4 linked regions of the Notamacropus eugenii genome follow. The protein of the gene in region 2 purifies or fractionates together with the protein of the main gene of each other region. This does not show direct contact. Links are inferred from orthologs where the notes say so. Each region holds a gene or a part of one and is shown on either strand. Other genes may lie near its edges.

What was found.
Region 1: the proteins of SRPK3 (region 2) and SON purify together in Homo sapiens (affinity purification with mass spectrometry; 3 studies listed by BioGRID and IntAct, with this or other methods). This does not show direct contact. The link is inferred for Notamacropus eugenii from reciprocal best matches to the Homo sapiens genes SRPK3 and SON.
Region 3: the proteins of SRPK3 (region 2) and CCDC86 purify together in Homo sapiens (affinity purification with mass spectrometry; 3 studies listed by BioGRID and IntAct, with this or other methods). This does not show direct contact. The link is inferred for Notamacropus eugenii from reciprocal best matches to the Homo sapiens genes SRPK3 and CCDC86.
Region 4: the proteins of SRPK3 (region 2) and EBNA1BP2 purify together in Homo sapiens (affinity purification with mass spectrometry; 3 studies listed by BioGRID and IntAct, with this or other methods). This does not show direct contact. The link is inferred for Notamacropus eugenii from reciprocal best matches to the Homo sapiens genes SRPK3 and EBNA1BP2.

Annotation. Positions count from the first base shown.
Region 1 is NC_092876.1:425,726,997-425,734,735, reverse strand, and holds the start of SON (protein SON), read left to right. Parts: upstream 1-4,734; 5' UTR 4,735-4,794; coding exon 4,795-4,871; intron 4,872-5,171; exon of another isoform or gene 5,172-5,193; intron 5,194-7,494; coding exon 7,495-7,661; intron 7,662-7,739. Other genes in the region: GART (trifunctional purine biosynthetic protein adenosine-3), read right to left, coding at 339-491, 4,387-4,405. UniProt on the Homo sapiens protein: RNA-binding protein that acts as a mRNA splicing cofactor by promoting efficient splicing of transcripts that possess weak splice sites.
Region 2 is NC_092879.1:22,619,410-22,626,937, forward strand, and holds the start of SRPK3 (SRSF protein kinase 3), read left to right. Parts: upstream 1-4,525; 5' UTR 4,526-4,624; coding exon 4,625-5,106; intron 5,107-5,775; exon of another isoform or gene 5,776-6,068; coding exon of another isoform or gene 6,069-6,097; intron 6,098-6,295; coding exon 6,296-6,429; intron 6,430-6,852; coding exon 6,853-6,961; intron 6,962-7,092; coding exon 7,093-7,180; intron 7,181-7,383; coding exon 7,384-7,471; intron 7,472-7,528. Other genes in the region: PLXNB3 (plexin-B3), read left to right, coding at 669-743, 1,253-1,357. UniProt on the Homo sapiens protein: Serine/arginine-rich protein-specific kinase which specifically phosphorylates its substrates at serine residues located in regions rich in arginine/serine dipeptides, known as RS domains.
Region 3 is NC_092873.1:12,473,608-12,481,598, forward strand, and holds the start of CCDC86 (coiled-coil domain-containing protein 86), read left to right. Parts: upstream 1-4,986; 5' UTR 4,987-5,074; coding exon 5,075-5,862; intron 5,863-7,615; coding exon 7,616-7,745; intron 7,746-7,991.
Region 4 is NC_092873.1:504,696,335-504,703,729, forward strand, and holds the start of EBNA1BP2 (probable rRNA-processing protein EBP2), read right to left. Parts: upstream 3,017-7,395; 5' UTR 2,918-3,016; coding exon 2,855-2,917; intron 2,763-2,854; coding exon 2,679-2,762; intron 2,464-2,678; coding exon 2,303-2,463; intron 2,157-2,302; coding exon 2,033-2,156; intron 1-2,032. Other genes in the region: CFAP57 (cilia- and flagella-associated protein 57), read left to right, coding at 3,228-3,384, 6,693-7,009. UniProt on the Homo sapiens protein: Required for the processing of the 27S pre-rRNA.

The sequences.
Region 1 (7,739 bases), on a different chromosome or scaffold from region 2:
CATGTAATTATCCATATCATTATGAAGCACTTTTAATAAGATGTTGGCATAAAGTAATTCTGTAAGATAGAACTATAACCAGAACAGCACATCTTACACTTCTGGCAAATTGATTCACACTTTCCAATTATGGAGAGGGGAGAGAGGATTTTTTTTCCCCTAATAACCAAAACAAATAAAACAAAAAAAAAAAATCAGATGCTACTGATACTCAACATAAAATAACTAGACTGGTTACTTAACATTTAGTTTGCTTATCTGTAAATTGATAGAGTTGAGTTAGATGATCACTAAGGTCCTTTTTAGATCATACATTCTATAAATCAAAATGCCTTTACCTGAATTTGATATTTTCCCATTGTTGGCTGTTCCTGCATTTCCTGGGGCAACTATCACCTGGCTGACATGCTGAGACTGAGCAAGTTTCCAAGCCAGTGTGTGTTCCCTTCCCCCATTGCCAATTATAAGCACTCGGACTGCCATTAATTTGTCTGCAGAGTAGGGATTTAAAAAAAAAAAAAAGAAAAGAAATTGATAAACAGTGCCAGGAGAATCAAGTTCAGTTAAAATTTTAAAAAACAACTCAAATCCATTCATTTTCTCATTCCTTATTGTTTTCCTTACGTTTTGGGCAATACTTGAGACCTTTTCTTTGGCTTCTGGCTTTTTTTTTTTTAAAGTAGCAGTAGCTTAATTATTCTGCTTTTCTGACCCTTCCTTTTAAATGGTAGCACTCCCTGAGCTTGTATCATTTGGCTCTTTATTTTTCGTTTTCACTCCCTCTCCATTCATCTACTCCATACGATCATCTCTACACAACTTATTCCCCAGTCAGCCCTTCCAGTCTCAATCTTGCTTCCATAATGGTTCAATACTTAAGCCACTACTGTGTGAAAGGTATTGTGTTAGGTTCTGTTAAGAATTTCAGGTCCTGCCCTCAAGGGAAATATAGTAGGGCAAGGAGACATGAGGACAAATATGATCAGAATGAGAAAAACACACAGGAAAGGTCAGAGAATGCTATTTTCTCTGGCTGGAAGTAATCCGGGCAGACCTCGAGAAATAAGTAGTATATGAATTAGGCCTTGAAGGCAAGGATTTCCACAAACTGAGAGGTAGGACTGGAAGCTGACTGGAGGAGGACACTGAATAGGATGGCAAGAATATAGTATTTTATCCTGCAGGCAATGGGGAATGACTGAGATTTTCTGAGCAGTGGAGTGCGACCTGGTTAGACTTGTACACCAGGATAATCACTGCCACAGCATTATGAAGGGTTGGTTTAAAATAACAGGTTAAGAAATTTTTTGGTGTCATATATGGTAACAAGAATTTAAAGGTTAGGATGCAGTAGAGTGGATAGGAAGAAAAGATGCAATCAGGAGGTTATTTTTGGAGACAGTATAGACAGGACTTTGCAACTAATTGGAAAAGAGCAAAATAGGACAGTGGAGTTTTTCGATAACTAAGAGAATTTCAGATAATGAATGGCACAAACAAGGTTAGCTAGGAGGGGCAATTTTGGGGGGGATTTGTGTGAAGGAGGAATGAGCTCAGTTTTAGATATGTTGAGTTTGAGGTGCCGATCAGGTATCCATGTAGATCTGCCTCACATGCATTTGGAAATGTGAGACTGGTCATATTTCTAATCGCCTGCTGGACAGGTTCCCTTAGGCGGCTTCTGGAAACTTGTCACTTTTGATCATCAAGTTCAAAATCAAACTAGCTTTCCTCTCTTCTTCTTTGAAGACAGGGATATTTCATTTTTTTCTTTGTATTCTCAGTGACACATAGCACACACTATTAAAACACTGAATGAAACTGAATAAAATATGACAATCAAGTATCTGAAGGCCTATTATTACATAGAACTGTGCTAAGTACTTTACAAAGGCAGGGACTGCTATTATATACCCATTTTACAGATGAGGAAACTGAGGTCCAGTTTAAATGATTTCCCCTAGGTTGTACAGCTGGCTAGTGTCCAGTTATATCTGAACTCAGGTTTTCCTGACTCCAGGCATAGTGCTCCACCCACTTTGCCACCTATCTCTAGCTGTCTCAGGGGAAGGAGGGAATATAAAATGTTCATAGAAAAATGGAGCATGTATAAAAAAGTCATACAAAATCACTTCAGGATGAGGGGAATCCAACAATTTGGAAAATCAGAAAAGACTTCTAGAAGGCTGTAGTACACAAAGTAGAGGTAAAGAGGGAGGATACACCAGATATGAGGTAGAGCCTGTGCTAAGACATGAGGACAGGAAGGAAAGAGAAGACAGAATACGTGTATGCAGGAAACAACAGAGGCTGATGTGACTGAAGCGTATGAAGAGTAATAATATTTAATTGGGCTGGAAAGATAAACTGGGGTCAGTTTATGAAGGGCTTTGAGGGTCAAACGGAGAAATTTGTATTTTATCTTACAGGCAAAAGATGATTCCTTTCCGGGGACTAAGAATAGTGTTTACATTTTAAAATAAAAGTCTGAATGTATTTAAGAAGTTAAAAACCATCCTTAGCTCAGGGGCTGGCAGGATTTGGCTATCTAGGCCCCAGTAAAGATTCTAGGGCAGAGGAATGACAAGGCAAACCTAGGCTTTAGGAAGATCAATCTGCCAGAGGACAGAGTAGAAATTGGGAATGTTGGATGTAAAGAGACCCATCAGGAGACTACCTGCAACGGTCTAAGCAACTTCTGGTAAGGACCTGAAGTAGTGTAGCTGAGGCAGGAATGAAGAGGTGCTAGGGTAGAGCTGATAGGACTTGGCAACTACCTGGTACCCAGGGCCAGGCAGACAAGAACTCTGGAAGTCAGGGGTCAGGAAGACCTGAGCTCAAATTCAACCTCTGACACTTAGGACCTTGGGCAGAACTTTTCTGGACATCTAAACCTAGGTAACTCTCAGTTCTCTCATCCTTAAAACAAGTATATCTATTTCTTTTCTTAGACAGGATACAGCATTGTTCAGCTTATATGAGGATGACTTGCGGTCCATTGAATAAGTAAACAGTACAAAGCAGAAATAAAAGCTACTTTCAAAATTCCCAATTTTGTAGGAAGAAAAGCACCTACTGAAAACATTTTGGACCACATGGAAAAACCAAACTGAATGAAGGAACTCTTCAATTCTTAAATTTTTGAAAAACTGAAGAAAAAATCATTTGCTTGGATGGAAAAATGTAGCTTATCAGAAACTGGAAACCATGAGCAGGAACTTAATTAAAACCACGTTAAAAAGCAAGTGGTAAGATTAGGAAAACAAGCCTGGAAAACAAGAGCACGTGGCCAAGCCCACGGGTGAAAAAGGCCAATTCTTCCAACGCCAAGTTCATTTCAAGAAAAGCACCGCTCACAGTTAAAGTGTGGGGGAAAGCACAGGGTAAACCCTGAAGGATGAAAAAACTAAGGAAATCCTATTTGAAATACATATCAAGGAAAAAAGGAGACCAGCTACGGGAAAAGCACTCGGACCCGTCTCCTAAAATAATTAAATTTAAGTTAAATAAACGACAGGAATTCTGCCGTAAGCAGGCTGCAGAAAGATGCTCCACCAGTGACAGCGGGAGGACACGCACGTGGCCAGGCCGCGGAAGGAGAAGGCAGCCGTCCCACCCGGGATGAATGACAAAGCCTGGGCTCTCCCTCTCCTCCCGCCGACAAGCCGCGAGCGCTCTGCACACGTGGACGCCCAAAGGCTCCTCGGCCCCGCGTGCGTCCGTCCGTCCGTCCGGGAGGGAAGGACACTCCCGCGTTCCACAAGCCTTCCCACCTTTGGCGCTTATTTACGTTCCTAAATTCGTACCCGGGCACCTCAGCGGCGACACCCCCAGCCACCCAACCACCTCCCCCCAGGCCCGCGGGCCCTGGGCGGCGGCCTGCTCCTCGACCGCCCGGGAGCGTGATGCCCCTCCTGGGCCCCGTGGGTTCGACCCGGACCCGGGGAACCGTGTTCACACATGTCACGTAACGACAGCTTTGTCACGACCCCCCCCTCCCCCCCACTCTGGTACCTCTGAGGCCGCCGGGCACCCGTGAATAGTTTAAGGAGGACTAAGGGCTCTCACGGCGGGGGGCCGGCGGGCTGTTTCGCGAGAGGAGCGCGGAACACCGCCTGCACGCTGGGGCTCGTAGGCTCCCGGAGCAGCCACAGGGACCACGCAGCCCGGGGCTCAGAAACCGAGGCGGATTCAGACGGGAGGGGCGGGGGAGGGGCCGGGGGCGGAGGGAAGCAAAGGCTGTATTTTCCAGGGTCACAGGACTCTGCACAAGCATTGGGAGGAAGGCGACGAAGAGGCGGGTCCTCCCCGAGACGGCAATAAAGCCGGACCTGGCGCCCCCCTCAGGCGTGCGCGGGCTCCGCGGGAACACTGACTAGTTCTCACCTCGCCGCCAGTCTCCCATCTGGATAGTTATGCCCTTAAATCAACCCAAATCACAAAAGTACAAGCCCACCTCCCACCCCGAACGCGAACGACTAAGCCCCTCACGTTGGCGGGATTCACCCGCAGACACTGGCCCTGTAATGGCGCCTGCGTCAGGCACTAACATGGCCGCCGCAGCCCCGAGCTTGGAGCTTACGTCAACGGCTCCGCCCTCGTCTCGCAAGAACGGACCGAGAAAACGAATGCGTGTTCGCTGATTGGTTCAGTGGCAGAGCGTGCCTTCCCCGGAGCGCCAGCGGGAGCCAATGAGGGAAGAGAGATAAGGAACCGGCCGTAGCGCCTACTCCCGACGCATGCTGGGAGCCTGGAGGTCTTGGGAGGAGGAGTTGAGAGAACGGAGCGGCCGCCATGGCGACAAACATCGAGCAGATCTTCAGGTCCTTCGTGGTCAGTAAATTCCGGGAAATTCAGCAAGAGCTTTCCAGGTAACGTGTTCCCAGGCGCATCTGCCTTTAGCAGACCGCTGGTACCGATACAGTGTTCCACCGCGGTATCCCCGAAGCCGCCATCGTCCTTTGGCCTAGGCCCTGCAGGAGCCTCGCCCGGGCCTGGGATCTATTTCCTGGCCCCCGCCCCCTCCCCCACCGCCTACCTTCCTTCCTCTCTCCCCTCGCGCGCGAGGGCTTTCGTCTCTCGCTCCGTGGCGCTCTCCTCCCCCCGCCCCCCCCAACCCCCAGCCTACGGGCTGCTTTCGTAGACTTCCCTTTCTCTTCCGAGTAACCAACCTCCCTTCCGTCTTCCAGGCCCCGTTGTCCACCTTGGGGTGGGCCTAGGTTCCTCCTCCGATCCTCCTCTTCTTCCTCCTCCTCCTCCTCGTTTCCCCTCCCCCGCCCCCTCCCCCCTCACCGCCTTCATCTCCGGAGATTTCACCATTCTGTCCCCAGCCTCGGAAAGGGTGTATAACGGCGTTTTTATAGTATAATCCTAAAATTTCGTTCTTGCTAATTTTAGATTATTCTAGTTTGTGGATTATCGAGGCTTTTGGTTTTCTCTTTGCTCTTTCCACCTGTTTTTAAAAGAGTTGGAAGCAGTTAAAATTTGTTCAGTTTGTTGTTGGTTTGAAGGGGGAGATGGTTGAAATTGTGAGCGCGCGCGCGCGCGTGTGTGTGTGCCTGTGTCTGTGTTTGGAGGTTGGGAGTACAGGGGGAATCTTTTGAATTTCAGTTTTTTTCCTTTCCTGGCTTCAAATAACAAGGAAAGTTGACTTGATTAACGAACCGCTATTGTTCTTTATGCTCCCATTTTCCCCACCAAAAATGTGGGGAAAGGAAATCTGCAAAAAAAAAAAATAAAAATCTGTTTAGAGAGAAAGGAAAATAGCGAGGAGGTACTGGTTTTGCTTGGTTTTCCGTTAGTGTTTGTGCCTTGTCCACCTTATTTGGTCCTTTTTAGTAAGAAGATAGGAACAAGAATCCCTGAAGCTTAAAATATGGGTTACACTTTCTCTTATACTTTCTCCCCGTGGCTATTCACTGTCTTTAAACTCCAGCATCTTGATCCTGTCTGTTTGTTGGTCACAATGTAGTGTGAACTGAATCTCCAAGAGTAAGTTAAATAGCCAAATTAAGTTCTTAATTCTCATTTACTGAACGGTAGGCTGGATTGTGTTGGGGGGCTGGAAAGGGGTGGTGATGCCAAGGTATTGGTCATATGAGTGAACAGAATTTTCAGATGAGGTTTATTCCTGGGACTTTTATTGCATAAGTTTTTAATTTGTGTAGTGTAGTTCTATTTCGTTTGATTACAGTCCATTTTGTCGATTATGCATAGCAAATTTCTGGACCACTCAACATTTTCAGCGTTAAAGATGTGCTTAGAGGAAATCTAAGCCAATTTTAATATCAGTCCAAGCAAAGCATAAATATGAACATTAGTTATCCTCTTTCATACCTCTTGCTCTCTTACAATGTTTTTTGTCTCTCCTTGTCTTAATGTAATTCTGAACCAAATATGAATAGATTTTGGATTGTGTGCTACTAACTTCATTGTTTAATTGGCCAAAATTAGTTGTATTAGTAGTTTCATTGTGCTTCCTTGGTTATATTTCCCATTGTAATTGAATTTTTTTTGAGATTTACTTTTTTTGGGCATATGGTAATTTGATCTGACAGATCAGACCTACTTAATTTGTTTGAAAGGAACACAATCAGAATTGTAGTAAATATTTAAAATGCTTTAAAATGTGAATTGGAAGAACTTAAACATAGGTTCATTCTTTAGTCTTTTACAGACAAATGAACACAACCATAACTAGCTTAATGAGTTGTTCAGATTTAAACAGGTGAAGATTGCAGATAATATTTTAATTGTATTCTGAAAGTGAGAACTCCAGTGCTTTTTTTATGTGTACAGTGGTATTGGTTAAAGCATAATGAATTCTCATTAGTTAATTGGTTTATTTTAAATATCCTGAGCCGTTTTTGTATATAAGAGATTTCCCTAAACGTTTTTCTATACATTTATGGAAGTTTTATGTAATTTAAAGACAGCATGTGATTTATTTTTACCTTGTATGTATTTGAGTGTCTTTCTTATGCTGATGGTCAGTAATGGTAAGCAGATTGGCTAAAAATACTATTTTTTTCTTCATTATGCCCATATTCTCCTAGTGTATATTAGGCCATGCATGTGTTGTTTTTTTTTTTTGTATTTTCATGAGTTTTTTTTCTTTTTGCCAAGTATAAGTAACCAAAAGCCTCAACTTAGATTTCTGAGCGTATTGAAACAGATGAGCTTAGAAAACTTTTATTTTGGAAGTTTTTACTTGATTTGCAGAGTTGTAAAATGGTGGTAATGTGATACTATAAAATTAGAATATAAATTAGTTGGAAGTAGATTAGAAGTTAATAAAATTTGAGAAAGAGTTATTATGGTTTAAGAATATGTTTACAAAAACTATAAGAGATGGCAGTGTATCTTACATATTCAGACGTGATAATAAAGTCACTAAAATTAAGCAAATTGTTCATATGCTGTTATTTTGTGCTGATTTATTGTATATTGATATCCATGATGTTAATGAATTTTGCTGTTTTATTTTTAAATCAGTGGCAGGGTTGAAGGCCAGCTGAATGGTGAAACAAACCCACCTGTTGAAGGAAACCAGTCAGGTGATGCAGCTGCCTGTGCAAGGAGCCTACCAAATGAAGAAATAGTGCAGAAGATAGAAGAAGTGCTGTCTGGGGTCCTAGACACAGAATTACGATATAAACCAGGTAAAGTAAAAGGGATTATTTGTGTTGAGGATTATCCTTCCCTAGAAATCTCAAGGGAAGCTTCAAAGGTCTTTAGAA
Region 2 (7,528 bases):
TTCGAATTCTTTCAGAGTTGCTTGTCTTTACAATATTGTTGTCATTATACAAACTGCTCCTGGTTCTGCTCACTTCACTGCATCATTTCATAGGAGTCTTGCTGGGTTTCTCTGAAACCATTTCTCACAGCTAAGCAATATTCCATTCCATTCATATGCATTATTTGTTCAGCCATCCCTCAACAGATGGGCACCTCTTAGTTTCTAGTTCTTTGCCACTGCAAAAGAGCAGCTAGAAATAGTTTTTCATCTATGATCATAGACTTTAGAGCTAGGGGTCGAGTCCAACTCCCTAATTTTGCAGATAATGAAACAGGGATCCAGAGAAGTTCAATAACTTGTCCAGGGTCACACAGTTAGTGTCCGAGGTGGAACCCATAACCTCCTGAAGACACTATGATGAGCTGTAAGGCAGGATATGAAACTAGATCTTCCTGATTTGGACTATAGAAAAAGGGCTGTGAGGAGATCAGTCCGGACAGAGAAGAAGGGAGCAGGGGTACAAGACTGGACCAGTAGGATGGGGACAGATTTAGTGTATGGGGGGTGGGGACCAGATAGGACTGCTGATGACTGAGTGTCCGAAAGAGGATGATTCTGACCTCAGTGGGCCCTTCTCCACCAAGACCTGACACTTGCCAACAATGTGTATTCCCCCCAAACCCCAGAACTATGCTTCTGACATCACCTGCCTGGTTGCCCTGCATGAGCTGTATAATTACATCAACAAGTATTATGACCAGGTGAGAGGCAGGTGGGCTTCTGGGCAGGGGTTGGAGAAGGGCCTAGAAACTTGGAGGGGAGGGGGAGAACCCTTAAGGTTAGATATCTAGAGCCACTTAAAGTTAGAGAGGAGGTGGAGGGAGTGGGGAGCAGAGTAGTTAGCTTTGCTTGGACCACAGCTTTGCTTTAATCCCTAACATCCTGAAAGACCTTCAGAGGGGAAATCATCTCCCAAGTGCCGGACCCAAACTCCCTGAAAAAAGGGGTCCTGCCACCCAAGCTCAGAGTGGCTTCATCTCTCTCAGAGGTACTCTGGGATGGGGAGAGAAACTTGCTTTTGGAAAGTTTGCTCCAGCTCTGTGGGAAGGCCCCAGAGGGGGAACCTGTCTTTGCCTAGGGAAGACTTTACCCTGGTCTCTAAGGTTCAGAAGAGACAGAATTGTGGGAGGGGGCAAAATAGAAGGGGACAGAGCAGCTGCAAGCCCAGGAGGGAAACATTAGCTGATCAGATCTTTTTGGTTTCTTCCAGATTATCAGTGCCCTGGAGGAGGACCCTGTGGGCCAGAAGATGCAGTTGGCCTACCGGCTTCAACAGATTGCTGCTCTGGTAGAAAACAAAGTTACTGACTTATGAAGCCCTCCCCCGCCCCGAGTCCAGATCTTGGGCCAAGAAGAAGGAAATGGACCAACCTGGAGTGTGGGAGCTGCCCCAGCCAAGGCCTCCAGCTTAAAGTCAACTGCCAAGGCCCCCTCTCTCTTACCAGTAGTGCCTTTTGTCCTGGCTCCCTAGAGACCCAACCGGGTGACTCTATCCTTAGCGAATCTCCTTCCCCTCCCTCCAAAATGGAGATAGAGAGGTCTTAGAGCCTCTCTTTCCAGGACCCTCAAAAGTGGTTTGGGGCAGAGTCAGCCAGGCAGCTGGGTGGGCACTGTTGGTACCCAGAGTAGTGGTCAAAATTTGACCCTATTTTTCCCAAGTATGGAGGAGATAGTGGAAAATGAACCCTGTCTGGGACATTTTTCTATAGTGGAGAAGTGGGAGGGGGGGAGGGGTGGCAAACATTCAAGACTTTCCACTCAAGCCAGTCTGGCCTAGCCTGTGGCTTCCCCTCACCCCTTCACTAGGATTATTAGTGGGGGTATGTGTGGGAGACAGCACCAAGCTTTGCCTCTCTTATTGAGACCTGTTAACTAAGGCATGGCTAGTCTCAGGCAGTCGGGGTTTTCATAATTCACACCAGCTCCAGCCTCTTTTGGGATACTTAAAGGATGGCCTACCCCCACCCCCACTCCCATCCCATATATTTATTTACTTGCTGGAAAATTCCATTTGAAAATAAATGAGATCAAAGACTTGAAAAAAGTTTAAAATCCAGTATTTTGTTGGTAGTTTGTGTTTGTGGAGTGTCTGGAGGACAGGCAGTTGTCAACATATTTCCTGAGGAGGACTCCTCTCTCCCCTTTTGGAATGCCTGCTGTTGGGATCTCAGGGTGTGGGGATAGGGAGACACAGGAATGAGGCAGAAGAAATCCTGATCCTAGTAGCAATAGCTGGGGCTGGGAGCATAATTTTGGGGAGTGGGAGAAGGGAGGGTAGTAGAGTGCAAATTGTGCACACACTGACACACACACAGACACAGAGACACAGACATACAAATACACACACACTGACACAGACACACAAATACACACATATACATATAGAGACATTGACACACACAGAGACAGACACACAGATGCCCAAACACACACACACACAGTCACACACACTGACACACATACACTGACACACACACAGACACACAAACACGCAGACACACAGTGACAGAAACACAGACACACACAGACACATACAGAGACACTAACACACAGAGATACAGACAGAGACACAGACACTCACACTCCTCATCTCTCTTTTGGTTCTCCTCCTCCATCTCTGACCACTCCTTCTCTGTCTCTTTTGCTGGATCCTCCTCCAGATCATGCCCTTGAATCATAGGTTTCCCCGGGGCTCTGTCCTGGGCCCGCTTCTCTTGGGGGTCTCATAGGCTCCCAAGGATTTAATTACTGTCTCTATGCTGATGATTCTCAAATATATCCATTTTGCCCTAGCCCTCGGCTTGTCCTTTAATCTCGCATCTCTAAGTGTCTTTCAGACATCTCAAACTGTATGTCCGGTAGACATCTTTAACACAAATCTAAAACTGAACTATCCATCCCCTCAAGTTCTTTCCGCCTGTGTTCCCCACCCCCACCCCGGCCCTACTGTAAACCCAGAGACAGGGATAAGAAAAGGTTCCGGTCCCGGGGCAAAAAGTGAGAGTGCAGTCGGCGCTTTTTAAAAAACCAATGAGCCACCTTGTGTGGAGCGTTTTTTGGCCGGGGGGGGGGGGGGGGGAAGGGGGGGTGGAGCACAAAAAGAGACTGTCCAGTCCTCCCCTCCAGACCAGTGAGGATAGGGCAAGTAGTAACACCATTTTCCCAGTTCCCTGGCCTCGCAACGTGTTAATCTCGATCACTCCCTAACTCACACCGCCATATCCAAACTCGCCAAGGCTAGTCATTTCTCAAATTCAGCCCCTTGTCATCTTCCATTCAGCCACTAAAGTGATTTTCTTAAAGTGCAGGTCAGATCATGTAACTCCCCTGCTCCATAAGCTCCCGTGGCTCCCTCTTGCCTCCAGGATCAAGTACAAGATGCTCTGTTTGGTGTTCCAACCCCTTCGTGACTCAGCCCCCTCAAGTGAACTCTTCAACCCGGTGATCCCTGGCTGCTCCGCCAACCAGTCCCTCCTTTTCTCGGCTCTGGGTATTTTCTCTGGGTGATCCCCAGTACTCCCCCTCCTCGGCCCTGACCTCTGAGCTCCCCGGCTAAGCCCTCTGAATTCCAGGGCCTTCCCTCTGGTCATTATTTTCTATTGATCTTGTATAGAACTTGTTTGCACGCATTTGTTTGTTGTGTCCCCTCCCCCCGGGGCGCCCCCCCCCCGACTTTACTACCCCCTATTAGATTGTGAGCTCTTTAAAGACCATCTTTTGCCTCAGCGTTCGGCACCGTGCCTAGTACTCAGCAGGTGCTTAATAAATGTTTATTGACTGACTGTCTGCAAAATTCCTGCTGGGTCAGCCCAATATGGAGGAGTGGGGGAGAGGGCTATAAGATTGAATAAATACACTCAACAAACATTTCTAACCGAACGAAAGCCTGGAAGGTGGGTGCAAAGACAACAGAGAAGGGTCGGGATGCTGGAATGATCAATGGGAACGAGTGGAGGGGGCAGCCTCCCCGACAGGTCTAGAGTGAGGAACGGCGGGTGGCCATTCAGTTCGTCTGGAACAAACCGAGTGAGGGTAATGGGGGTCAAAAAGTAGTGAAGTGCACAGAAAAAAAGCGCATTGGCTGGGTTAGTCCCATCCAATCACTTTTTTGCTCGGGGAAATTGAGGCTCAGAGAGAGGGGCGGTGAGAAGATTTCGTCTCCGGGCAAAGAGTGTGGGAGCACCCTCGGCGTGTTTGAAAAATCAACCAATGAGCGCTGTGCGCGGGACGTTGGCAGGGTGGGAGGGGGGACGAGAGTATAAAACGACGGCACTGCAAAAGCCGCTCCAGTGCGTGGATCGCCGAGGTGAGGAGAGGCTGTCGAGCAGGTTCGCGGAGCTCGAGCACAAGCTTCCCGCTTACTGCTCTCTCCTCTCTATCCAGTCGATCCAGCTCCTCGTCTGGGAGCGAGAGAGACCGTGTCCGCGTGCCGTGAGGCTCGCTGGCCGTCGTAGCTGTGAAGATTAGCAAGGGGGGAGGTGGGTCCCAGGTCCGAACGTCTCGGGATCGAGACCGGACGGCCCGGGACAAGGCCGGCCAGTGAGGAGCGAGGACCTGGCAGCGGGCGCCTGGACGACTCGCTATGGTTGCATTCCGGGCGGGCCGCTTCCGAGGGGGCGGCCGGGGCTTCGGCTTACTGGTGCTCTCTAGCCTCCTGTCCCGCTCCGCCCTGATGCGTCTGGTCTTGTCCAAGCCTCGCATGGAACCTAACCCGCCCCACTCAGGCCAGAAGAGAGAGAAGCCACAGACCAAGGAAGGGGCCGAGGCGGACGACGGTGGGGATAGCGACCCGCAGTCACAGCGGGGCCAGCTCAGGAAGCCCGGGCGGCGGCGGCTGCGATGGCTGCGGAAGCAACGGCTGGAGTCCCGGCTGGAGTCCCTGCTTCCGCAGCACCCCCGGCCATTGCCTCCGCCATTGCCTCCAATGCCGCCGCCGCCGCCCCCCCCCGCCGCCGCCGCCTCCTCCCCCCCCCGCCGCCGCCCCCCCCCGCCTCCCCCTCCGCCGCCGCCTCCGGGCCCCCCGCCGCCGCCTTCTCAGGTGGGGAACCTGCACGTGCAGCTCTAGTAAGTGCATGCGACGGCGTTCTGGGGGGACAGACCCCCTCCAAGGAGGGAGACCCAAGCCATCTGCGGGGGCGGGAGGTGATGGTGCAGCAGGTGCAGCTCTGAGCGGATCGGAGGCGCGGGGACGAAGTGGTCCGGGGATGGGGGGTGGGGTGGCGAGTTCCAGGAGGTCTAGCCTAGATGACCAGGCAGGATGGACTTCCAGGGCCCGCAGGGGGATTCTGGGAGTTCAGAGGCATTTCTGCGGGGATGGGGGTAGGGGGTGGAGGGGGCGTGGCAGGTCCCGGGATGGTCACTCTTTCCCCCTAGACTTGGGGGGGTAAGCCCCCCAAGAAGTTGAAACAGACGGAGGAAGTGATAAACCCCTTTCAGTCTGTAGAGGGGGAGACAGGCAGAGTCCAGTTCACCCATAGGTCCCTCCAGGGTGATCATGGGACTGTAGGGTTTAAGAGCTGGAACATGTAGTCCAGTCTGTTCAGGTGGCCGATGTTGTCGGCCTGCGCAACCCTGGGGAAGTCTCCGTTTGAGGAGCATGTGCCTTTAAGAGTTAAAGAAGCAGGACCCTCAGCGAGTTGGTAGAGTGGACTTTTTTGGGTGATAGGGGGAGGGGACCTTTCCACTGACATACCTTTCCCTTCCCTAAAAGCAGCTGAGAATCTATTTATAACCCTTTCCCTGGCCGGCCGAATGAAATCACCCCAGCTATAAATGCCCCTCAATCCACTCTCCCCACAGTAGAGATAAGGTCTCCCTCCTCCCAAAAAAATTCCAAAAGGAGAAATTGACGTCAACCCCATCCCCACCCCCTACCTCCAACGGGCTAGGCCGAGTGACTGAGGGCAGGACACCGGAGCTCTTCGGACCTCGGTGTTGGGGAGTGGGGGATCAGTTAGATAGATTTTCCTGGCAATCCCCCGACTTGGGGTAGAGTAGGTAGGGTGTAGCGTGCTGGGGAGGTCGAAATGAGCTCAAGCAGCAGCAGCAGCGACAGGTAGGGGATGCCTCAAGTCTGTGGGTCCAGATCCAGAGTAGAGCTGGGCAGCCCTGGAGAATGGGGGGGAGAGGGGTGGAGTATGGTGGAGGAGGGAGCCTGGTGGGGATGAACTGGAAATCGGAGGGAGGACTGGGGGAAAGCCAAGAAGACTTGGACAGTAACCTGAGGCCTTCCCTCTCCACCCCTACCAACAAGCTCACATCTTGCATGTGCCCACGAATTCACTGACCCGGAGGTGAGAGCTGGTCGGGTGCTACTCCCCATGGTACTGGAGAGCCTTCTGGGCTCTGATGATGAGGAACAGGAAGACCCCACCGATTACTGCAGGGGTAATGGAGAGCCCACAAAGCCAACTTGGCCTCCCCGCTTTGGATGGGAGGTGGGGGCAGAGGGTCCAGCTCAGGGCAGGCAGCCTGAATAAAGAGAAACAAAGGCAGCTTCAGTCTCTCCCCGCTGAGGAAGGGAAGGGGATGGAGGTGGGAGGACTAAACTGATAACACCAGGCCCCTTTTTGGCCACCTGCCCTATGTTCTTTTATGCTCGGGGGAGGAGAGACAGCAAGGAGAGAGAGAGAGAGGGAGCTCAGCAAGTTTCGGTGGACCGTTGGACTATGGTCTCAATGATCAGGACAAATAGTGAGCCTGTAAGGGATGGGGGTGACTAGGCAGAGGCACCCTGGGCAGACTCTGGGCCTTGGAAAAGTGGTATCCTAACAATGAAGTATTCTTTCCATCTGTTTTCCCTCCCCTTAGGTGGTTACTACCCAGTGAAGATTGGAGACCTGTTCAATGGACGATACCACGTGGTTCGAAAGCTGGGGTGGGGCCATTTCTCTACAGTCTGGCTCTGCTGGGATATTCAGTGAGTGATCCTCCCCCACACCCTCCTCCTGGCCCGTTTGGCCTATCTTCTCTCGACCCCCTCCTATCCTTGGATTCCGAGGCCCAGATACGGACCTTGATGATAACAGGTGATCCGGGTCTGTTTTGTAGGCGGAAACGGTTTGTGGCCCTAAAGGTGGTCAAGAGTGCTCTCCATTATACTGAGACTGCTGTGGATGAGATCAAACTGCTCAAATGTGTAAGTCCTCACTCAGCTTTTTGGGGCCTCCGTGTCTGTGCCCCGCCCCCATCAGTCAAAGACAGTAAGAGGGGGAGGGGGAGGGGGAGGGAGATCTCAGAGGACCAAATTTCCTGATGGTGTAGAGGGAGCTGAGAAGGTTCCCTGGACTCCTCTGCTCCTCACCTCGACCCCGCCCCCCATCATAGTCTTGATGCCTCCAGGTCCGGGACAGCGATCCCAGCGACCCCAAAAGAGAGACTGTCGTGCAGCTCATCGATGACTTCAGAATCTCAGGGATCAATGGTGTCCGTATCCTTGGGGGTTTGGTAATTCTGAGGGTTTGGGCAGTGTCCAGGGGGGTCTGGA
Region 3 (7,991 bases), on a different chromosome or scaffold from region 2:
TGCCTGTTCATATCCTTTGACCATTTATCAATTGGGGAATGACTTGTATGATTATACATTTGAGTCAGTTCTCTATATATTCTAGAAATGAGGCCTTTATCCCCGAGCTTAGCTGTAAAAATTCTTTCCCAATTTACTACATCCCTCCGGATTTTGGTTGCATTGGGTTTGGTTGTGCAAAAACTTCTCAGTTTAATGTAATCAAAGTTATCCATTTTGCATTTCATAATGCTTTCTATCTCTTCTTTAGTAAAAAATTCTTCCCTTCTCCATAAATCTGATAAATACACTATTCCTTGCTTCTCCAGTTTATTCATGGTATCAATCTTAATGAAGGAGAATTTAAAGAGAATAACAAATTCAGTAAGAGACCCTTTTCTCACCTGTGTCTCTTAGAATCCAAGCTTCCCTCAAAGTTCAGTGGAAGGATCACCTTCTAACACAACACTTCCTGGATCCCTCCCCTCCAGCTGCTCAAGCCTTCCCTCCACCAGAGAAATTACTTTATTTCCATTTGTTACCTGTTTAAATTGATGGATTTTCCTACTATTCACTATTTATGCTGCTTTCTGGTGTAATTAGTATTTGTTGACAAAGAGTGAAGTCTGTGGGTGTAAGCTTGAGAAGATGTCACCCATTAAGAGATAAGAGACAGGGAATGTCTTGAATTGTCAGTTTCCTTCTCTGAAAAAGAGGAATAATAAACTATGATGGGGAGGGTCTGAGGCCTCTTCTCTAACAGCACTGTCTCTCTCCCCAGAACAGCAACCAGTAATACGGAGTTATGTTTCGCATGACTTCACTTGTATAATTGATATTATATTACTTGCCTTCTCAAGGAGTGAGAGAGGGGCAAGAAGAAATTTGGAACTAAATTTTTTTAAATGAATGTTTAAATTCTTAAAAAATTTAATTGGAAAATATCTAATGAAATAAAAATATTTATTTATATACTTATATGTATTTTTAAATATATCTAATTATTTTAATATTTAAATATATTTATATATAATGAAAAATAATTAATTAAATATATTTAAAATTATATTTATATATAAATATTTATATTATAAAAATAAAAATAATTTTTTTTTTAAATAAAAGAATGATTCAATTTGGCCAAGTAGTGCCTCATGCATGAACTCTGCCTCTGGATACACCATCAATCAAAACTATCTCTTCCTCATGTGGTTAGCAGACCAGAACCAGTTTCAGAATGTCTATGCAGGATTCAAATCAGGGAACAGGGCCCTTCCATTCTACAACCTTCCCAGAAATTTCCATGTTGGGAATTGCACACACGTGAGCACACTGTGCCTGCTCACCAGCCTTCCATTTCACATGCATCTCATTTCAGGTTCTTTGTAGAATATTAAACGAAGCTGACCTAAAAGGAAAGCACTAGACTGAAACAGCTCTAGTGAAAGGACCTGGATTCTAATCTCAGCCCTGCTATTGACTAAGCCTTCCCCAACCCATCCTCCTAACCCAAACAACTGCCAGCCTGATATTCCTAAAGCATGGCTCTGCCCAAATCTCTCCCCTAGCTCTAGAAGCCCCAGTGGCTTCCTGGTACCCCTAGGACCAGTTACAGACTCTTCACTTCAGCATTTACAATCCTTCACTATCTGACTCCAACCTATCTTTCCAAAGATATTCCACATTTCTTCCCTTTCACAGATCCTACATTCTAGCCAAACTGTCATACTCTTAACCATAAGGAAAACAAAGGTTTTAAGTCCTGCAAGGGACTCTAAGATAAAGGGACTGGAGCTCAGTATGCCCTTTGACGTTACTAGGCAAATACCCCTAAAAGGTCAAAGAGAGAATAAATAGGACAGGGGCATAGAAATATTCCTAAGGAGCACTTTTTGGAATTTCCAGATGGGGAACTGTGGCTTCTCTACATCAGCTAGAATGTATCGGTACATTATTGTACTCTAAGAAATGAAGAAAGGGTTGGATTCAGAGAAACCTGGAAAGATTTGAATGAACTGATGCAGAGTGATGTCAGCAGAACCAGGAGAACAGTTTATACAGTGAGTACAACATTGTAAAGAAAACTAACTGACAAACTTAAGAATTCAATGCCATGATCAGAGAAAGGGTGGGTAGTAATAATGATGCTGGAAAAAAGGCAAAAGAAAAGAAAGTCACTGGAGGATTATTTTTAAAAGTACAGGAGAAAAGGAGGCAGTGCTGAAAGAGATCTGTCTCTTTCAAAACAAAAGGGATGAATTTATTATATACTTTCAAATATATATTCATATACATGCATATATGTACATACATAAATACTGCTGCTTATGCTAATTTTGGTCTAACAACACCATAAAAACATGGGTTCTTCACTAGCCGGCACTATACATGGAACCATCAGTTACAGCATATGGAGAAATACTGAATGCTGTGGATAAGTTCACTTACCTTGGCAGTATACTTTCCAGGGATGTTCATATGGACATGAAGCTGATGCTCGCATTGCCAGAGCTAGCTCAGTGTTTGGGAGGCTGCCTACCAAATTGTAAGTCTACAGTCACTGTGCTGACCTCATTGTTGTAAGCCTGTGAAACATGGACAGTCCACCAGCACCATGCTAGGAAACAGAATCGCTTCCACTGGAATTGTCTTAGAAAGATTCTGTAGTTCTCCTGGCAAGATAACACTAACCCTAACCCTAACCCTAACGCTAACCCTAACCCTAACCCTAACCCTAACACTGAGGTCCTTTCTTGAGCTAAACTGCCAGGCACTCAAACTCAACTGCAGAGACCACAGCTCCCAATGGGCTGACCATGTTGTTCAAATGCCAAAAGTATCTAAAAAACTGTTATGCGGACAATTCATATAGGGCAAGTGTTCACATAGAGGTCAGAAGAAGCAGCACAAGGTTCACTCCCAAGGTCTCTGTGAAGAACTTTGGAATAAATTTCAAGACATGAAAGATGATGACCCAGAACCATCCAGCCTGTGGCCATCAAAGAAGGCACTGTGTTCTATGAGTGAAGCAGAATGGAAGTAGCTCAAAGGAAATGTGAGATGTACAAAATTAGAGATACCTCCACACTACGTGTTCCTGACCTGTGGTAGGGCCTTCCAAGCTTATAGTGATCTGATCAGTCACGGCTGGACAACCGGCACCTTGACTCCAACACAGTGACAGACATTCTTTCAGTTCTCTTTGAGGAGGAAGGATGCCTACCAACCAAACAAACAATCAATCCACAAACTATACATAACTGCAGTGCACAATGATTTCTTCCTGTTTTTCTGTGTTTACAGAAACATCCGGGTTTGTTTTGTTTATCAAGTTCAGAATAACAAAAAGCTAAAAATTATTTTTTTAAAAATAAAAGTCATCACTGAAAGTGAAATTCCAGACCAAAAAAAGGGTAGAAGACATAAAAGTAAGCGCAGGTCTCCTGACTTCCAGACTCACTCCTCTTCTAGTCATACCACAGGGGCCTTTGAAAATATTTCTATTTGTAGTCATTGCTTGAAAATTGCAAGGACCCAATGTGGCTTGAAGAGAAAGCAGAACACACCTACTTCCCCTTCTTTTGCAGTGGTGAGTGGCCACAGGATCCTCATGCAGATATTGCAGATACTCAGGCCTTTTTGGGGGAGCTGGTTTTGCTGGCCTTTAAAACTCATTCCTGTATAATCTTTATTATAAGGTGATAATATTTAATACAAATTTTGGACTTGAATAAGGGCCAAAAGTAATCTTTATTATAAGATGATAATATTTGATATGTTTTGGACTTTAATAAGGGCCAAACTTTGAATTAAGAAGAGCCTGGACCAGAGAATGCCTTTTGGTGTTAAGCAAGCAAATGGGACTTCCTTACTAGACTCTTCCCCTGGCATCTTAGTGATAAGGAAAAACACAGATGTCCCGGGTTGCAATTTCAACTTAGTCAACTCTGTTCTTGCATCCACAACTTCAAGGGCCTATTTAGGACAGGACGTCTGTCACCAGAGTAATGGGAGTTTCTTCTTATCTTACGTCACAGAGACATATGCTACAGATCACACAGCTTGGGATCATAAAACTCAATTGACACTACTTTGTTAATTGTCTCGTCTTCCTAAATTTATGAGTTCCTTTCTCACGGCAAAATGTATAAAAACCAGAAGATTTCTGTACCGGACAGCCAGATTTGATCCTGGCTCCCTAGAGTTATGTAACCGATATCTTTACGGGGATTTGTTTAATTAATTAAATCATAAAATGTATGCATTTAGCCTGTTGCCTTTCCTTTAACCAAGTATTCAGGTCAACCAAGGGATGGTTCTCCTGGAGCTGGAAGGATGTAAATAAGAAAGGGAGGTGAAGTATAAAGCCGGGAGTGGTCTGGCTGGGGCTGAGTTGGGGGGAGGGGTATTTTCTCTGCTCCTCCAGCCCCCTTCTCCCTTTCTCTATAATTTGTTGGTCCTCCACTATACTCCATCTCCCACCTCCGGGTCTTTGCACTGGCCCCTGCCGTGCCTGCCATGCATTCCCTCTCCACTTCCACCTGCATGCTCTTTCTGATTCTCCCTCACCCCAGCCCCAAGGCTCCTCTGTACAAATGATTTATATTTAGCTGGGCCTCCTTTCCCACTTCCTGATCGATGTGGGCCCCTGGAAGGCAGGGCCGCTTTAAGACGTGCGAGGCCTAGCCAGGATAAAGGCTTTATCTAGCACACAGCAGGCACTCAAACAATGCGTGTTGGCTGACTGGCAGTGTGACAGCTGGCGCGTCCCTGCCCCTCTCTGAAAAGGAGGCCTTGGGACTCCGCCCCCTCGGGAGCTGACACCGCCCCGCACCATCCGGGTCTAGGAGAGTCGGCTCAGGACTATCCACGCAAGCGCAAATGAGCGCTCAGGCAGTGGCGGCAAGGCGCATGCTCCTGGAAAGTGCGCTCTCTGGGGTTCTGCCCCTCACCAATATGGCCGACTGGATAACACGCCTCCCGGCCCTTGATTGGCGGGTCGCTTTTGTGACGTCATCAGGAGCGCCGAGTGCCGGAAAACCCGGGAGCTCCACGTGGATAGTGTTTGGGGGCCTGCTGAGCTCTGGGCGAGGGGATGGAGACGCCTCGAAGGAGAAGCCGGCGCCTGGAGGGGCTGGAGGCCGAGAGCCCCGCGGCCCCCGCCACCCCGTCCCGGGGGCCCCGCAAGGCCCGGCGCGGCCTCCTGGGGCCCAAGGCCGAAGCTGCCTTAGAGCCGGTGCCGGAAGCGGGAGCGGCCGAAGAGGGCCCGGAGTCCCCGCGGAGGCACGAGGGGCCAGGCCTGGAATCCCCTAGGAGACAGGGCCCAGGGCCCCCCCACGGGTCCCCTAAGGACTTGGGGTCCCCCCGGAGAAAGGATCCAGAGTCTAGTCCGGGGTCCCCCAAGAGGCCTCAGAATCAGCAGGCCGAGGGCGCTGGAGGTAAAAGGCAGCTGGACCTGGGACCCTCGCAAAGCCCCGGGAAGCCCCTTGTGGGGTCCCCTAAGTGTCACGGAGCTCAGGGCCCTGAGTGCCCCGGGGATCAGGTGGCTGCAGAGGAACCGGACTCCAGAGGCCTCCCAGAATCCAGTTCGGCAGCCCCCCAAAGTCGGAGACACGAGCGATCGGGGTCCCACGGAGGACAGCCCGAGCCTGACAGGGAGTGCCCCTTGGGGCAGCCCGAGCCAGTGACCCCCAAGTCGGGGGTGCTGCCCCAGGACGGAGCTGCGGAGACGCAGCCAGTGACCCAGGCACCCCAAACTAAGAAGCGGGGTGGCTCCCCTGCCCCCACCTCAGCGCCCAAGAAGCCCAAGCAGAAGGAGGTCATGGCAGTCCCCAAAGGGAAGCCCAAGTCTGGCCGAGTATGGAAGGATCGCAACAAGAAAAGGTGAGGGGAAGGGGGAAGGGCTTTCTTGGGCCAAAGCCTATGAGAGGGAAAGCTGGAGCTGCCCTTCGGGGGGGTGAGGCAGAAGCGAGGGGGTCCGACGGAAGGGGAAGCTGGGGCTCCCCTGCCTAGGCAGCCACTGCCCCGCACCCCCAGCCAGCCCCCAGGCTCCCCAGGGCACAAGACCAGCCCTTGGGAAGCAACCCCACAGGAGTGTAATGATGCAGTGGGGGTGCCAGAGGGCTGGAGGAGGGATTGTAAACCACCCTGAGCCTCAGGGGCTCAGTTGGGCCATGTGATCTTTAATTCCCCTCGCAGTCCTCTTGTGGGAGCAGAGGGTACGAGGCTGAGAAAGAAACCAAGGCCTGGTGAGGTCAGAGAAGCGTGTCTGATCTTTCCTCTGGACTGGGATGTCCTTACATGTTGAGGGGGCTAAAGGTTGGGTTGTATTTGGCCACTGACAAAGGGAGATGGGAAGGGACCTTTGTAGAGCACCTGCTGTGCCCAAGGGACCAAGTGCAACCAGTCACTTTACAGATGAGGAAACTGAGGCAGGTGGAGGCTAATTGCCACAAGTCACACAGCTAGAGTCCCAGGCCAGCTCTGATCTCAAGTCCAGAACTCTGGCCACTGACCACCCACTGCCCTGTTTTGCTTTGTCTCTGTCCCCAGCCCCCAGCCCAGAGTCTTTCAAATCTGTCTTGGTCCAGACCTGGGATTTCATTCATCCCCATGTAGAGACTATCCACCGATGTAGGTCTGCATCTTCTGGAATATCTCGCCTTCAAGACACTGGGCACTGAGAGGCTTGGGCTCTTCCTGGCCAGTCACACACAGCCAGGGTGGGTCAGCATAGAACTCAAACCCAGGTCTCCCTAATTCTGTGACCCACTTGCCACCCACAGGCCACACTGCCTCTCACTCCATACACTATGCACTTCAAGTGTCCAGTGAATTGGAGGATTTAGAGCTGAGAGGGATGTTGAAGACTAAGAGGGCTGTCTTCCTCATTTTACAGGTGAGGAAACTGAAGCTCAGGATGGGGAATGCACTTCCCAAGGTCACACAGGTCCTAAGTGGCAGGGCTGGGACACCCACATTTAGGGGCCAAGGCCAAGGGTCCTGGACATGGGCAAACAACACCCTCCTCCTCTGCCCCAATTCTTTGTCCTGTGAGAGAACTTGAGTGGAAGATAGAGTTTGTCTTAGTGCAAGGGAAAGCCTCTGAGTGAAGGGGACGTCTCCTGAGGTAGTGAGCTCCCCATCCCACCCCATCCCAACCTGGTAGAGTCAGGTAGGAGGTGCCCTGACTGAGAGGCAGCTAGGGGTGCATGGGATGGAGCCCTACTGGGAGTCAGGAAGACCTGGCCTTGAACTCAGCCTCAGGCCCTCTTACTAGCTGTGTGTCCCCAGGCAAGTCCCTTAATCTCCTTTGCTTCACCTTCCTCAACTATAGAAAGGGGATCACAACAGTTCCCACCTATAATGAGGATCAGATGAAAGAGTCTATGTAAATAAGCATATGATAGGTGCTCTATAAATGCATGTTTCCTTTTGGCTGCTTCATAGGTGTTTGGCATAGACCCCATATAGCCATGTTGGCTCCCTGCCCCTCCCCTACCCCAGTGTCAGGTCCTTGAGGTCAGGGACCTCTGTCTTGGCATCCCCAGCACCCAGCTGTGAATGCTGGGTTTTGTCCTGGTGTTTGGGGTCCTATCACAGACCTCTTACTGGGGAGTTCCCCTCCTGCCTCCAGGTTTTCCCAGATGGTCCAGGATAAGCCTCTTCGCACATCTTGGGAGCGCAAAATGAAGGAGCGACAGGAGAGGAAGCTGGCCAAGGACTTTGCCCGACACCTGGAGGAGGAGAAGCAGAGACGCAAAGAGGTGAGGCCTGGGGGTGGGACGGGGCAGCTGCTGTCTCAGCTAATGGAGGCCTGCTCCCTAACTGAACTCAGCAGGTATTTGTCAGGCCCATGCTGGGTGCAGGGAGACCTGCCTGGGCAGGAGATGTGGGCGCAGCCCTCTGTTGCCCAGGGAGGGTGAGTACATGGCTGGATTCTGGATGGGTGGCGGTCAAGGTCAGCTTCCTGGAGGAGATGGTAGAGTGTTTCAGGCCTAGAAACAATGGAC
Region 4 (7,395 bases), on a different chromosome or scaffold from region 2:
ACACAACTGACAAGATCGAACCACAACAAAGAAAGCCTCCCTGCCTTCAAGGAGCTCCTATCATAAAATCAGCCATTTTGGGTCAGTGACCCTTGAGATCAGCTAGTCCAACCCTCTCATGAAATGGCGAGGAAAGGAGAGGCCCAGGGAGAATGTAGTGGGCTCACCCAAGATCCCCCAGGGGCCCAGCAGGGCCAGGATTCAAACCCAGAGCCTCTTCCCTAGGTTCAATCTTCTCCACTAGGGTATACCACCTTCTGTGATCACCTGGCCCAGAAAAAACATCTCAGGCTCTCAAATGAACAAATAGATGTGACAGGGCAGGTGGTCTTAGTGAGACTCAGAGGAAGGGAAGCCCCACAGAGCTGGACAATGGAAAACAGAAGCCTGCATGCTATAAAGTCAGAGAGCCTGACTTGGAATTTCCAGCACAAATATAACAAGTGGTGAATACAAAGTCAGTGGGGCTTCATCCAAGAACAGGTCAGGCCAAGCTTATAACATTTCCTTCTGATAAATAAGAGAAATGTGAGTGTGTACATGCACACTGCACATAGTATAATACAGTCCAAATGACTTCACAGCTGCATTTGGAAAGGCACTGAATGGCCTGACCCCAAGAGTCACCACTCAGGGTCTGAGGATACTTGCCTAGAGATGGGGCTGTCCCAGAACTCTGCTGCTGGTCACACACTGTAATGTCCCCAACCCCTTCAGGACAACCCCGACAGAGAAAGCAGCCATGCCCTCCACAGCAAGCCTTTGTGTAGAACTTGAAGGATTCCAAAGCCCTTTCCCCTTCACCTCTTCTGATCCTGACAACCCTGAGTTAGCGGTCTGCTACTAATCTCAACTAAAAGAGACAAGAGTCACACAGCTGGGAAGGGGGGAGTGACGAGGAGACAGGGCTCCAGCAGCCACCATCCCACCTCACTGCTGACAAGCCCCCAAAAGATCTGACAGACTAGAAGCCTAGGCTTCAAAGAGAATAAAGTCTCACAGTCAAGTCACAAAAGTCCAAGATAGGAGGGCGGAGCAAGACGGTAACTCATCCCATGGTCCCCCAGACACTGGGAATGCAATGGGACCAGGTAGCCAAGGTGATCTGTGGTCACACTAACAGACTCAGTGGCCAGGACCAGTAAAGAAAAACTTCTGAACAATAACAGACTGCATTCCAGATGAGAGTGAGTTGTGACTGGGAAACACAACCTTGTTACAAGTTTTCTGGCCAAAGTGAGACCTCTGCTGGTTATGCTGCTGACCACAATGTTTTCCTAGCAAAGGCACAACAAGGTGGCCTCCGAGAACCCTTCCAACTGCAAAATGACTCTCTGAGTTAAGAAGCATCCATCCATCCCTCTGTCTTCTACCCTGGGTCAGATGGCAACTAAAACACTCTGCTCACATTTGGGGGCGAGATTTTAGAAAGGATACAGACATGCGGCCTCAAAACACCATGTAAGAATCAACTGAACCTAAAAAAACTTGGGGGGTCAGGAGAGCTATCTCCAAGTACCTGAAAGAAAAATGAGCCTTCACCTGCCTGGCCCAGGGAGCAGAACAAGGAGAGATAGGGAGAGATATTACAAAAGTAGAAAGTGCCCTATCCATGAGGGGAGTTGATAGTGAGATGAACTGACTCAGGAGAAGGCGGTTCCTCCTCATCCTTACTCAGAGGATGAGCAACCCTGTGGGGGATGGGAGGGATGCCGTAAGAGGAAACTCTCTGGATCTAACAACATTGGGAATGTGCAGCCTACGAGGTCGTTCCCAAACCTGGGATTCTGCTACAGTCCCATAGGAGCCATCAGTCTGTAGGACCTCGACACTCTCCTTTCTACAGAAAAGTTAATTTAATCTCTCAGTGAACTAGTTCCCTGAGGAGCAAAGGGAACCCAGTCCTCCCTGACTCTGAATTCACGTCCAAGAACCAATTTTACTGCAAACACAGCTCCACATGAAAGGCAAACTCCGGGACTCTGCGCTAGAGGTGGGAGGAGCCCCTGCCCAGCCTGGGGCAGACACCCACCTTCTGCATCTGCTGGTCAGACTTGGCCATCTCTGCAAAGTAATCCTGGGGCCTCTTGGTGGGGATCTGGTGCTGGTGGAGCCGGGGCAGCACCGCCAGGACCGCAGCCTGGGCCTGGCGGTAACTGGCAGACAGACACGGGCAGCTGCAGGAGTGCCCTCGGGCTGCCCCCTCCCCACCCCATCCCATCCCAGGCTGCCCCCTCCCCACCCCATCCCAGGCTGCCCCCTCCCCACCCCATCCCAGGCTGCCCCCTCCCCCATAACTTACAAGGTCATCTCCCTACGGAAGTCGTCCTCGGGATCCACGGCTCCAGGCTCCACGAGCGTCTGAGGCGCGGGGAGTTCTGGCGCCGGCCCCACGGTCACGTCCAGCCGCTCCAGCCACGCCAGGTCTTTCCGGAACTCGGCCAGACACTGACCCAGCCCAGCCTGGGGAGAGCTCCCGGTGAGCTTTCGAGGGGACCCTCCGCGCCCCACCCCCACCTACGCGCCCCCAAATCATCCCGCAGACCCAGAGCCCCGCGTGGAGACTCCTCGCTCCTCCCCCGCCCCCGAACGCTCATCCCGTCATTGCGCATGCTCCGAGGCGCCAGGCGCCGCACGTGGAGCCAGAGCGCGAGCCCACTCCAAAACCCCGTGCTCACCACGTCGTTCTGCCGGCGTTTCGGCGCCTCCAGCTCCACGTTGAGCCCCGGTTTAAGCAGGCCCCGTGCGAAGGCCTCCTGCAGCTGCAGGGACACAAGGCGGAGTCAGGGCCGGCCAGGCCCGGGGAGGGACGAGGGGTCGGGGCTGGGTCCCAGGAGGGAAGGGGGCCACTGACCTCGGCGTCCGAGAGCGCCTCCGAGTCCGCCTCCGAATCCGAGCCCGACGCGAGCGCCGCCATCGCTGCTTTCCCTTTCTTTCTTCCGCGAGCCCAGACGCCGCCTGAGCCTCGCGGCTTTGACTTCCGGCGAGACGCTTCCGCTTCCGGCGTGAAGATCCGCCTCTTCCTGTTTACCGTTGCCGTGGAAACACAGGTTTCCTAAGAGAGGCCAAGCCAAAGAAATAGGAGAGTGTGAAAGAGAGAGAGAGAGAGACAGAAGCGGCAGAGGCCAGGGGCGTAGGGCGGGGCCGGGAGGTCGGCGGGGTCACGGGTCAGGGGTCACGGTCACTGTCTCCCCTCCGCAGCCCCGCTCTCCCCTCCCCGCGGCGCCATGAGCACCGTGGTGGCCCAGGCCCAGCACATCTTTGGGCTCCGCGGCCGCGTCGCCAACAACCTCTTCTTCTTCGACGAGCAGATCATCATCTTTCCGTGCGGGAACCACTGCGTGAAGTACAATGTGGACCAGAAGTGGCAGAAGTTCATCCCAGGTACCCCTTGGAGAGGGCCCCCACGCCATGTTCCTGGGCCGCGGGGGCCGCCATTAGCCCCATTCCGCGCGTTGGTCCGCGGCAGCGGGCGCGCTAAATGGCCCGCCAGGGTCTGGGGCAGAACCAGAACCCAGGTCCTACGGCAGCCTCTGATTATCCTAGGCCCACCTCGTTTCCCGGCCCCTCCCATTGGGGGGTCCCGGAGCCCGGCATTTCTCCTCCCGCCTCTCCTTGCAAGGACGGAGCCGTGCAGAAATGCCCCCTCCCCGCTCACCCTGCGGCTGGCATCGCCAGCCCCCAGTGCCGGTGCGGTGCTCGTGGCTGGTGCCCGAATGCGCCTCTCCTTGGGGTTGGGGCAGCAGGGGGCTCCCGTAGAAGCTGCGACCCGGATTGTCCTGTTCTCGGGGGCGCCGCTTTCTTAAATCACGGGGTTTTAAACACGTTAAGATTGTAGTAAAGGGAATTGGATCAGCAAACGCAAAGAAAAGCCTACAACCCCAGTGTGCCAAGGCCTGTGCCAAGCGCTGGGGATACCAAGAAAACCGCCGCTCCTAGTCTAAAGAGGGAAATACCGTGCAGGTGACTTAGTGTAGGCGATATGTGTCTAAACTGGGTGACGGCGCTTTCATGAAGCATTCGCCGCCGGAGGGGCTAGGAAAGACCTCCTTTCCAATGTGGAATTTGTTGTCTCCAAGGAAGGCAGGAAAGTTAGGTTGAGGGGAGGAGAGCATCCCAGGCATGAAGATCTTTGTCTGGTGTGTGAGGGGCAGCAGGAAGGCCGGCTGTGGCTGGACCTTGGGAGCTGTGGAGAGGAGTAAAATTCCTTAGATGTTGACCGAGAGTCTTTGCTGTTGTTGAGTTGTGACCCCATCTGGAGGTTTCTTGGCAGAGATGCTGGAGTGGTTTGCCATTTCCCTCTCCAGATCGTTTTACAGATGAGGAAACTGAGGCAAACAGGATTAGGTGACTTGTCCAGGGTCACACAGCTAGGAAGTGTCTGAGGCTAGATTTGAATCAGGAAAAGACGTCCTTCTGACCCCAGGCCCATACTCTGTCCACTGTGCCACGTAACAGCCCTATGTATTAGTCACAGTGTGTGCTTGATAAAGGCCAGCATGACTGGACCTTTAGAATGTATGGACAGGAGTAAAATTCAAGTCAGTTCATTAAATATTTGTTAAACACCTGTTATATACCAGGCACTGTACTAAGCACTAGGGATACAGAAAGAGGCAGAAGACAGTCCCTGCCCTCGAGGAGCTCCTGATCTAATGGGGGTAGACAGCATGGAAGCATATATGTAAAAAGCAAGCTCTATACAGAATAAAAAGGAAATAATTAACAAAGGGAAGATACTGGAATTAAGAGAAGTTAGGGAAGACTTCCTGTAGAAGGAGAGATTTTAGTTGGGACTTAAAGGGTAAAAAGCCTGGAAAGGTGGAATGGAACCCCCTGGGAAGGGCATTAAGAACCAAACAGAGGGCCTTGTTTGCTCCTTGAGGTAATAGGGAGCCCCTGGGCTTAATCAAATAGGAGAGTGAAGTGATCAGATCTGTGTAGAATGGGAAAGGCATGTCCTATGGAGACTGGCTTTGATGCTCTTGGAATAGTCCAACTGGATGTGGAGAGACCAAACTCAGCTGAGTGTGGCACCTACCTGCGTATGTAGACAAGGGAGGTATCATGGGTGATGACATTGTGCCTGCAGCCTAGGTGACTTCCAAGGAGGGACAGTAGTGGGAAAATTGGGAAAAGCGAAGGGTTTGGGGGGAAAGAAGATGGGCTGTTTTGGACACATTGAGTTTGGGAATGTCGCAAAGGCAGTGGGAGAAACAGGATCGGATGAGGAGAAAGGTAAAGGTGAAATTCTCCACAGAGAGGCTAAAAGAGAAAGAGGGACCAGATAGAGCCCTGGGGGAATGCCCTCTGTCAGGGATGCCAATGACTACCGTCCACCCTTGGCTTCTGGAAAAAAGCTCTTAAACTGACCTTCTCACCCTGACCTTCATGTTGTCCAAAGGTCTGTCATTGTCCCCCTTCCCTCTCTGTGTTCTCCCTTGGCTGTCCCACTCACTCCCATACTGATGCCTTGACCTCCACCAGGGCCCAGAATTTTATCACCAGCTATCCTCAGGCCTCCCCCCCGCCCCCTGACCAGGACCAGCCCGACTTTGCCTGTCCCTCCCCCCATCATCTCTGTACATCCTTCACCCACCTGCCCCCCCAACTCTTACCTCTCCTTGTTCCTGCTGCTGCCCCACCTCTGGCTTTGGTGCTTCTTTCCACTAGCATCAGCACAGGGGGCTTCCAGATAGACCTTCCTTCTCTCTCCAAACCACCCTTCCTAATTCAAACAGTTCAGCACATATTTCATGAAATACTGCCTACATTCATGGCACTATACCAGAACATGGGGATATTCAGAAAAAATCTGAAGATCCCTCCCCTTTAGGGGCTCACATCCTTCTTGGGGAAATCACATAGACATGGGAAAGAAAATACAAAATAATTTCAAGAGAGAGAGATAACAGCTCAGATTAATTTTCACTATTCACACAACTTGTTAGATCTCCCCTCTGCTTAAAACCCTTGAAGATACCCTGTTGCTTACTAATTACAGCTCAGAGTCCTTACCACAACATTCAAGGCCCCCAACATAGTCCAGCCATATGTCCTATGTCCTGCAGTTTGCCAAAATGGAAGATTCACCATACAGATTCCTTCAGCTAAAAATCCCCCCCTTTTACAAGGAACCTTTCCCAGTTCCCCTGAAGGCCAGTGCCTTCCTTCTGTGATTCTCTCCAAATGATCCTGTCTGTAGCTGGTTTGTACTTAGTTGTGTCTGAGATTCAAATATCAACTGCCCCTCCCACTCCCTCTTTGTATGGATGTCTACTCATACACCCCAATTATGTGAGGGGATTTTTTTCCCCTTTCCCCTGCTTTCCTCCCTTTCCCACAGTGTATTCCTCTTCCCATCCTTCTCCATTCTCCTTTTAAGATTGTCAAGATATAACATAACCATGATCAGGCCTTCCATCCAATTAGACTCCCTCTGTGAACCTGGATAATGATAGGTGAAGAGCGGACACATATCACATCTGCCCTTTTACCCTTGCCTAGTGGAGGTGGAGCCAAGACAGCGAAGTAGAAAGACAGACCTGTAGAAGCTTCCCTCCATAGCCCATAATATCCTTGCTTAGTCCATTGTGATTGCTAATTACTGGATGAATGAGCAAATTAATAGAAAAGTCCACTACATTGCACATGTGGCTCCATGATCCACCTGCATTTACCTCCATTTGCAGGTTCAGAGAAAAGTCAGGGCATGCTCGCTCTGGCCATCAGTCCCAATCGGCGCTACCTGGCCATTTCAGAGACTGTGCAGGACAAAGCCACCATCACCATTTATGAGCTGTCTTCAGTTCCTTGCAGGAAGCGAAAAGTCCTCAGCAACTTTGATTTCACAGTTCAGAAATTCGTTAGCATGGCCTTCTCTCCAGACTCCAAGTATCTTGTGGCCCAGACAGGACCCCCCGAGTCCAACCTAATTTACTGGATGTGGGAGAAGCAGAAAGTGATGGCAATTATTAGAACCGATACTCAGAACAACCCAATCTACCAGGTAATACCTGCTCTAGCACACAGGCTGTGCCCATGGCCATGGGGATGATTAAGGTGGGTGGGTGGGTGTGCTTGCATGTGCTCTGTCCAGACCAGTGGGGCCTCTATTACATTCATATATCACAGATTGTTCAGCCATTCTCAGTTGATGGGCAGCCCCTTGATTTCTAATTCCTTGCCACCATTAAAAGAGCTGCTGTTCATATTTTTGTACAAATATATCTTTTTCCTTTTTTTGGAGGTCTTTGGGATCAGACCTCTCAGTCTTCCCCTTAGTTTTACTTTCACTCCCTTACTTGTTCCTTCTGCAGATTGACGCTGTTGCCCACCCATCCTCCTGGTTGTCTGTCCAGGCTACACATGGACCACTCTGACCCCAGGAGTCTA